Linked DNA regions of Macaca mulatta. The protein of the gene in region 2 interacts with the protein of the main gene of each other region in a pairwise test. Links are inferred from orthologs where the notes say so. Each region holds a gene or a part of one and is shown on either strand. Other genes may lie near its edges. The genes, in order: ZBTB32 and PITX1.

Evidence for each region.
Region 1: the proteins of PITX1 (region 2) and ZBTB32 interact in a two-hybrid assay, tested with the Homo sapiens proteins (2 studies listed by BioGRID). The link is inferred for Macaca mulatta from reciprocal best matches to the Homo sapiens genes PITX1 and ZBTB32.

The regions. Positions count from the first base shown.
Region 1 is NC_133424.1:46,949,316-46,953,719, forward strand, and holds the start of ZBTB32 (zinc finger and BTB domain-containing protein 32), read left to right. Parts: upstream 1-1,442; 5' UTR 1,443-1,716; intron 1,717-2,673; 5' UTR 2,674-2,723; intron 2,724-2,943; exon of another isoform or gene 2,944-3,152; intron 3,153-4,404. UniProt on the Homo sapiens protein: DNA-binding protein that binds to the to a 5'-TGTACAGTGT-3' core sequence. May function as a transcriptional transactivator and transcriptional repressor. Probably exerts its repressor effect by preventing GATA3 from binding to DNA.
Region 2 is NC_133411.1:143,947,380-143,951,880, forward strand, and holds the start of PITX1 (pituitary homeobox 1), read right to left. Parts: upstream 2,878-4,501; 5' UTR 2,166-2,877; coding exon 2,132-2,165; intron 1,586-2,131; coding exon 1,349-1,585; intron 1-1,348. UniProt on the Homo sapiens protein: Sequence-specific transcription factor that binds gene promoters and activates their transcription. May play a role in the development of anterior structures, and in particular, the brain and facies and in specifying the identity or structure of hindlimb.

The DNA.
Region 1 (4,404 bases), on a different chromosome or scaffold from region 2:
GGTCAGGAGATCGAGACCACGGTGAAACCCCGTCTCTACTAAAAATACAAAAAATTAGCCGGGCGCGGTGGCGGGCGCCTGTAGTCCCAGCTACTCAGGAGGCTGAGGCAGGAGAATGGCGTAAACCCAGGAGGCGGAGCTTGCAGTGAGCCGAGATTGCGCCACTGCACTCCAGCCTGGGCGACAGAGCGAGAGTCCGTCTCAAAAAACAAAAACAAAAAACAAAAAAAAACAAAAACAAAAACAAAACAAAACAAAAAGGCCGGGCGCGGTGGCTCACGCCTGTAATCCCAGCACTTTGGGAGGCCGAGGCGGGCGGATCACAAGGTCAGGAAATCGAGACCATGGTGAAACCCCGTCTCTACTAAAAATAGAAAAAATTAGCCGGGCGCAGTGGCTGGCGCCTGTAGTCCCAGCTACTCGGGAGGCTGAGGCAGGAGAATGGCGTGAACCCGGGAGGCGGAGCTTGCAGTGAGCCGAGATTGCGCCACTGCACTCCAGCCTGGGCGACAGAGCAAGACTCCGTCTCAAAAAAAAAAAAAAAAAAAAAAAAAAAACGACTTCACCTCTTTAGTTATTTAGGTTATTTAGGTTTCAACGAGTTGATGCACAAGCGTAGCACATGGAAAGGGCTGGATAAACGCGAGGTGCTGTTACTCCCACCACAGCGCCAGTCCTTCTCCCCTTTTTACTTTACTTTTTATTTTTATTTTTTGAGATAGAGTCTTGCTCTTTCGCCCAGGCTGGAGCGTAGTGGCGCCATCTTGGCTCACTGTAACTTCCGCCTCTCGGGTTCAAGCAATTCACCTGTCTCAGCCTCCTGAGTAGCTGGGATTACAGGCGTCCCCCACCACGTCTGGCTAATTTTTGTATTTTTAGTAGAGACGGGGTTTCACTATATTTGTCAGGCTGGTCTCGAACTCCGGAGCTCAGGTGATCTGCCCGCCTCGGCCTCCCAAAGTGCTGGGATTACAGGCGTGAGCCACCGTGCCCGGCCCCTTCCCCCATTTTAGCGGTTTCGCTCCCTATTGGGGCCAGGGACGCCTCAGGCTGTCTCTGTCAAGACCTACAGCTCTGGCTGTTGTCCCAGGCTCTTCCGCGAGGTGCTCTCCTGCCTCCTGACCACCCCCATTCCCCCCCGCTCGAACTCCTCAGCGAGCGGCTGCGAAGGACGCGCCAACACTCCGCGTAGCGGGAAGGGACCGAAATCTCATCACAGCCTGAAATTGCTGCGCTAAACTCCCGCCCCGCTGCCCTCTGGTCAGTTTAAAGCGAAGACGAGCCTTAGGGCCAGTCAGAGGCGGCAGCGGAGGAGCCATGCCCGCCTCCTTGAGGCGCCCTGGCGTCTCATTGGCTGTGCTTGAGAATGAATCCCGGGCTAAGCCGCTTAGAAAGGAGCGGAGCCAGCCAATCAGCGGTGCAACCGCCGCGGGGGCCGGGCCAGAAGGCCCGCAGACAAGCACCTCGGAAGATTGGCAAGGGGCGAGCTCGCAGCTTGTCAGCCCCGAAGCCCTGCCCAGGGGGAAAGCCTGCTGGAGGGAGTCTAATCCCCGGGCCAGTTAATGTTGGGGCAGCGCAATCGGCCGTTCCCTCTGCGGTGGGGTGGTGGGCGGGAGTGCTGACACGTCCGCGCGCCGTTACTCCTGGCTGAGCATACAGTCGAGGTGGCAGTGGGAATTGGAAGTGCGAGTGTCACACTGCCAATCACCGGGCAAGGTACTGCCCCCTCTTGTGTCTTCCTTGTCCCTGTACACGTCCAGGCGAGGCAGAGTGAGCTGTGCCAGCAGTCGTAGTGGAGTGGGACAAGAGGACAAGAGGAGAGAAAAGGGAGCTGTCCACAGGCACCGAAGCCTGGCTGACTTTTTTTTTTTTTTGAGGCGGAGTCTCGCTCTGTCTCCTAGGCGGAGTGCAGTGGTGCGATCTCGGCTCCCTGCAATCCCGGGGTTCAAGCGATTCTCCTGTCTCAGGCTCCCAAGTAGCTGGAATTACAGGTGCCCGCCACCACGCTCAGCTAATTTTTGTATTTTTAGTAGAGATGGGGTTTCACCATGTTGGTCATGCTGTTCTCGAACTCCTGACTCCAGATGATCCGCCCGCCTCAGCCTCTCAAAGTGCTGGGATTACAGGCGTGAGCCACCGCGCCCTGCCTGGCTGGCTCTTTTATTTTATCTTTATTTATTAGAGACAGGGTCTCACTATGTCACCCAGGCTGCAGTGCAGTGATGTGATCATAGCTCACTGCAGCCTCGACCTCCTGGGCTCAAGGGATCCTACTACCACCTGGACCTCTCAAAGCGCTGGGATTACGGGCATGAGACACAGTGCCTGGCCTTGGCTTGCTCTTATGGGCCTCCAGGCCAATCAGGTGTGGCGGCAGCCTACACACCCCTACACACTTCCCAGATGGTAAAGGGTTGAGAGAAAGGTGACAGGGTTTGCAAATGGGAGCTACTTAGGGAGGCAAAATAGAAGCAAGAAAGGCAGGTCAGGCACGGTGTCTCACGGCTGTAGTCCCAGAATTTTGGGAGGCCCAGGCGGGAGGATTGCTTGAGCCCAGGAGTTCCAGGCTGCAGTGAACTATGATTGCACCATTGCACTCCAGCACGGGCAACGGAGGGAGACCCTGTTCATAAAATAAAAATGAAATAATTTTTTTTTTTTTTTAAAAAAAAGGACAGTGGTACTCCGGAGCACTTGCTGAGGGAGCCTCCAGGGCTGTTCAGGTAAGGGAGAATCAGGGTCCAGTCTCTTCATGGAGAGAGTGGGAAAGGGCAGACTCCACAGCCAATCAACGCTGGAGCCCGGCTGGAAATCAATGAAATCTCAGCCTAAGAGGCCTGAAGCCTACGGACCAATGAGACTCAAGGCCCTGCCTCTTCACAGCCAATCAGCTGCAGGTCAGAGACAGACGCGCGGGAGTGGCGCTGTCCTAGGTGCCTCCCATGCTGCCCAGCGTGCTCAGCTGGCCTGAGCGGGAGAGTGCGACCCGCGCTGCAGCCAATCAGCGTCCGCCTCAGGATCTGGGGGTGACCACGTGCGGGAGCCTTGCGTCCCTGGCCTCGCTCCACTCCCCACTTTTAACGGTCACTCGGCCTTGAGCCATCCTGAGTGTATGTGAGGCTGAAAGGGAAGGAGGAACAGGGTCTGGGCCGGTGAGTGCCATAGTTTTTCTTTACTTTCTTGGGCTTGGGCCTGGCCCAGGCAAAGCTGGGGTGTGGGAGTTTGGCCCCGTTGATGATTGGGAAGTGCGGGTTGAGGGTTTTAGCCCTTAGGGCTTTCCTCTGTCTTTGAGAGGCTGGAAATGCAGCCTCCTGGCCACCTTTAGGCCTAGGTTTGGCAGAGGCCAAGCCAGCTTGCCCTCTGGGTTGGTCCACGGCCCCTGAGGCCAGCCTGAGTGCGAAGGGTGTTGTGGGGAAGTTGCAGGCCCTTAGCTCTGCACAGGGTCATTGACCATGAGGTATGGCCTCTGGACAATGAGAGGTTACGAGGGGTCTCTGGACTGAGCCTGAATCTGGTGACTGAAAGGAGAGGCCTGAGGATCTCCAAAGGTTATGTAGGGGCCGGGCACGGTGGCTCATGCCTGTAATCCCAGCACTTTGGGAGGCTGAGGCAGGTGGATCATTTGAGGTCAGGAGTTTGAGACCAGCCTGGCCAACATGGAGAAACTCTGTCTCTACGAGGTTTCCAAAAAAAATTACCTGGGCATGGGGGCACATGTCTGTAATTCCAGTTACTCAGAAAGCTGAGGCAGGAGCACAGCTTGAACCCGGGAGGTGAAGGTTGCAGTGAGCCGAGATTGTGCCATTGCACTCCAGCCTGGGCGACAGAACGAGACCCTGTCTTAAGAAAAAAAAAAAAGAAAAGGAAAAAAAAAGTTACGTAGAAAGTCACTGGCCAAGAGATGAAACTAGTGTTCACTTGAAGGTCTTCTGGGGTCTTTGGAGCCAGCCTGGGCTGGGAGTGAATGTTCTGGACTCCAGGTTGAGATGTTCTTGGGAGATTTCCCAGTATGGGGTCCAGGTTGGATGATGTGGCCAAGAGGTTAGGCCAGTAATCCTCTGGAGATTCTAGGGAGAAGGGTTCTGAATCTCAGCCAAGCTGTTTGCCCTGGATGAAGTATTATTACCCTGTGGTGGCTCTGTACAGAACTAGGATTGGGTGGCCGGGCGTGGTGGCTCACACCTGTAATCCCAGCACTTTGGGAGGCTGAGGTGGGCGGATCACCAGGTCAGGAGCTCGAGACCAGCCTGACCAAGATGGTGAAACCCTGTCTCTACTGAAAATACAAAAATTAGCCGGGCGTGTGGCAGGCACCTGTAATCCCAGCTACTCAGGAGTCTGAGGCAGGAGAATCACTTGAACCCGGGAGGCAGAGGTTGCAGTGAGCCGAGATCATGCCATTGC
Region 2 (4,501 bases):
TGTAAATAGATTTTTAACTCCCTCCCAATAAGGCCCTTACAGAGATAATTTTTAAATCCCAGAGAAACACATTATAGTTAGATAATTTAAATTCCCCAAATAACACCACTGTAAATGGATTTTGAGAAAATTCCGGAGAAACGCGCCATTTTGGATTGACTTTTTAAAATCTCCGGAAGAATAATGTTGCATGTAGATATTTTAAATTCCAGAGACCTACACTTAGTATATTAATTATTTCAAAATCGAAAGATAAAGTTAAAATTGTTAATTCATCCTCATAGATTTGGTTCAAAAAATCAATCTATGATTATATATCTCTCTAGGTTTTAAAAATAAAACCAACCAAAGACCGCACTTAAAACTTTTGAAAACAAAAGTATAGTTCAGCGTTGATTGTGTTTTAACCAAGCAAACAGAACCTCTCAGAAAAATCACTTAGGGATGCAAAAGAGAAACAAACAGATTAAGAAAGTGTAAAGAAACACTCAGCTGTGTATTAAGAAATGAACAGAAGAAACGAGCAGAAGAGGCGCCCATGCCGGGGAGCTCTGAGCCCCTCGGGGACCCAGGCGGCTGTGCTGGGCAGCGGATTCGCTACCCTACTGCCCGCGCCGGCCACCCCCGGGCCCAGTTCGCTGCTGGAAAAAAGCTCCAGCTCGTACAAAAAGGCAGCGCGGAGGGAGACGCGCCGGAGCCGGGGCGGGGGCCAGGGCCGGGCAGCTCCGGGCTTCGGCTGCACACGTGGGCCGGATCCCTCGATCGGGGTTCGGGCTGGCCTTGCTGGGAGTCCGGCCGCGCCTCTTGGCCCGCTCGCCCTCACCGTCTTCTGTGTCTTCCTTCTACTTGATGACCCCCTCTCCCCGTTTACCCTTCCCGCCCGCCCCTTCTCTTTGGCCTCTCTCTTTCATTCTGTCGCCTACTGTCACGGTGTTAGCCTCTCTCTCTGTCTCTCTGAGGGCGTTCTCTCGCCCGTCACCCCCATTCCTTTCTCGGTCTGCTCCTCTCCCTTCGTCCGAGTCGCTTCTTAGTGCCCAGTTGCGCAAATCCAATTTTCCCCCGTTCTATTTACTCCTGATCAAGAGGGGCTGTCAGTCCAACCCTCTAGCTGTAGGCTCATGCATCTGCCAGTCTGTTGGCGCGTGGGGACCGCGTGGAAGTGCCTTCGCGTATGCGTTAAGTTTCCGCGTTCACCATCAGGTCGAGAACGGGAAAAAGAAAGCTCCTGACGCTTCTGGGGCGGAGAGGGAGCTTGGTTGCACGGCGCGGGCGTCAGGCCCTGCTCCCAGCTCCCCGTGCCCCGCGCCCAAGTAGGCTCCGTGCGCGCCGCGAGGGGAACGGCGCTTACCTGGCAGCTCGGTGTCAGACGACTCGCTGGCGGAGTTCTCGAGCTGCTCGCGGTGGTCGGCGGGCCGGGCCAGGTGGAAGGCGGGCCCCATGTCATGGGGTGGCGGCGGCGGCGGCCGGAGCCCCTCCGGTAGCCGCTCCAGGCTCATGCCCCCCTTGAAGGCGTCCATGGAGGTGGGGACCGCGGCGGGCGCTCCAGGGGCCGGGGCTGGGCGCGCCCCGCCGCCCTGGCTGCGACCTGCGGGGACAAGAGCGCAGCGCCTAAGCAGCTGCCCTCCAGGGCTGCCGGCGCCCGCAGCGACGCCGTACCCGCCCCATGGACCGCCCGGGGCTGCGGGGCCGGGCGGGCAGAGGCGGCGGCAGCTTCTCGCGACCGGGCGCCTGGCTTAGCGCTCTGTGCTGCGCTTCTGCCGCTCGGGCCTCAGCAGCCGGGCCGGCCCCGGCTCCGGCTCCGACTCGCGATCCGGGGCCGGTTTCTAAGGCTCCGGACGGCGCCGGCAGAGTCTGTCTTAAAGCGACAGCGCGCACAGCCAGGTTCCAGCAGTCCCTGCGCCAGGGGTGCTGGGTGGGGTGGGCCTGGGTGGGAGGGGGCTGGGGAGGGAGCGAGCGAGCGAGGGAGCGCGGGCGGAATCCAGCCCCAAGCCGCCCGCGCCGCCGCGCCCTCTCTGCCGCCCTCCCTCCCTCCCTGCCTCGCCCGCGCCCTCCCCCTCCGCAGCCACCTTCCCGCCGCCTCCCCGCCCCCCGCGGCCTCGCCGCGCCTCTCCCTCCTTCCCCGGTGACACACCGAGTTCTCCCTCGGCCTCACAAAAGAAACGCATCTGGGCTGCAAGTCCCGGGCGGCTCGTGCCCACCTCAGGCCCCAAATGACTTGTTTCGCCTAGAATCAACTCCCGTCTCGGCCGCCTCGAAGTCCCCAGCGCTGGCGAGAACAGCCCAGGATGAGTGAATGTTTGCCGAGCAGGATCGCACGGAGCGGGCGCCTTCGAGCCAGCGCCGGGGCGGGGGCAGAGCCCGGGGCCCGTTCCGGCAGCTCCCAGCGGTGTCCTCGTCGAGGGGCCGCCTGCCCCTCCTTCTCCAGCCTCTTCTCCCGGGAACTCAGCCCGGCTGAGTGACAGCAGCCTGCGCTCTAATGGGCCCCCGGATGCTGCCTCCTAATTAGCTTGGACCTTCTCCCCTAAGGCTGCTTCTCAGGCCTCCCTCTCTGCACCGCAGTCAATTTTCCGGGATTGGGATAGAAATGATGGCTTCTAATCAGACGAAACGTTTCTGCTGGCTCTAGGCGTTTGGAGAATGCAGAGGGAAGACCCCAGAATCCCAGCCAGGCCCCACAGCCTCTTCTACCTCTCCCCTTGTTTTACACCTTACACTTTGGCCAAATGGGCCAGGCCTGGCCTTGGCAGGCATGGGGTTGGCCTTGGCAGCCTTTGCCCTCCTTCAGGGTAGCTTTGTCCCAGCCTGGGGCCTGCATCCTGGCTTCCCAGGGCTTCAGGCACAGGCCTGGTAGGCCAGGTGACTGCTGTCTCCCAACCCTGGGCCAGCAGCCCAGGAAGCCCTCAGTCTTCCAGCTTCTCTCCCACACAGTGGTAGCTGAGTTGCAGCTCCAATGGGCCTTCACTGGGCACAGGCAAAGACATTACTCTCCCACTCCCAAGAGTGATTCCCTCCTCAAGTCCTTGCACGTAGGTGAAGTTTGTCGAAGGATTTTGCTCAACAATTGTTACCTGGCCCCAAGACCTCAGCGTCTTGAGCAAACAGGCCACAGCTGGGGCGGCAAGGCGCCGCCCTGACCTGCTTCTCTGGCCATAGGCGGACCCCAGACTGCCCTCTGCCCCTCACCTGTGACCAGCTCCACCAGACACAGCAACCCAAGGGAGCAGCGCCAGGGAGATTGTCGGTCTGGGAAAGAAGCAGGGAGGTGTCCAGTGTCCTCACCCCAAAACCCAGTGCCTCCTCAACTCCTGGGTGGGTGGCACTGACTGCGCAGGTGTCGGCGTCTGGGGCACTCTGCAGGTTCTGCCTTTGAGTCCTCGCCTTACCCCTTCGCATCACAGGGAGACACCCACGGTCAGCTGAGCTCCTTGTGAGGGCGGCTGGGGCCAGGGGCAGGCACACAGGCTGGAACCAGACCTGCCTTCCATTCCCTCCATGTTAGTCCAAAGCACCCCTGCCCCCATCCCCCACTCTGGGCCATGGAGAGACAGCACAGCTCCTTAGGGCCTGGCCCTTTCTCACTGTGCGTCTGTGACCATAGAATGCAGGGTCTGAGGCCAGAGGGATGACACTTCCCAGGAGTTTGGGTTGGGGAGGCTCAGTGACTTCTGCCTTCTTCCAAGCTGAGATCTCCCTCCATGAAATGAGTCTTGGTCATGGGCAGAGGAACATGGGGAAGCACAGTTGCCCAGCATTTGCCCTCAGCCCCACCTTTACCACGTTTCTTGGAGTCTCCAGTAGAAGATCCCTCCTTTCAAGGAGATATTCAGGTGCTGCAGCATGCTGGGGAGTGTCCCTTCACACACCATTCTCCTTTTAGCTGTCTTATCCCATAGAACAGCCTGAGTGCAGACAGCATGGGGGCACGCGCGCACACGCACATCCTATACATCCATGCGGAGATGCTGTGCACACACATGTACTCACTGCACTATGGAAGCGCTGAGTTTAGGCATATGTGTGCTACTTGGCATGAACGCCGGCTGGCATGGGATAGGAGGTGTGTTCTAACCCCGCCACATGTCAGGCCAAGGTGGGAAGCACCGTGCGTCTCTGGGCAGAGACTTAGAAATGAATGATCTGTCTGTGGGCATCCAGAGGAGGTTGGGACTCATAGCCCCCTCACTTCCCAGAGGGACCAAAGTGACTCTTTGGGCCATCCCCCAGTGGGAACTGTTTTGTGAGCAGCACTCACTGCTTAGTCTGAGGGGCTGTATCCTCACTGTTAGTGCATTTAATGCAGTTATTGAGCACCTGCTGTGTGCCCCTCTGGGCCCAAACTTCTGGCAGGGCTCCAGGCAGGCACAATAGTCCCTTTATTTGGTGATCTTGATGCCTGCTGTGTAGATGGAAAAGCCCTCAGACTGTTTCAGGTGAAGCCCCGTATCCTCAGGGGACCTGAGACCCAAAGAGGGGCTGGGGCTAGTGGGGCCTGCTGGCAGAG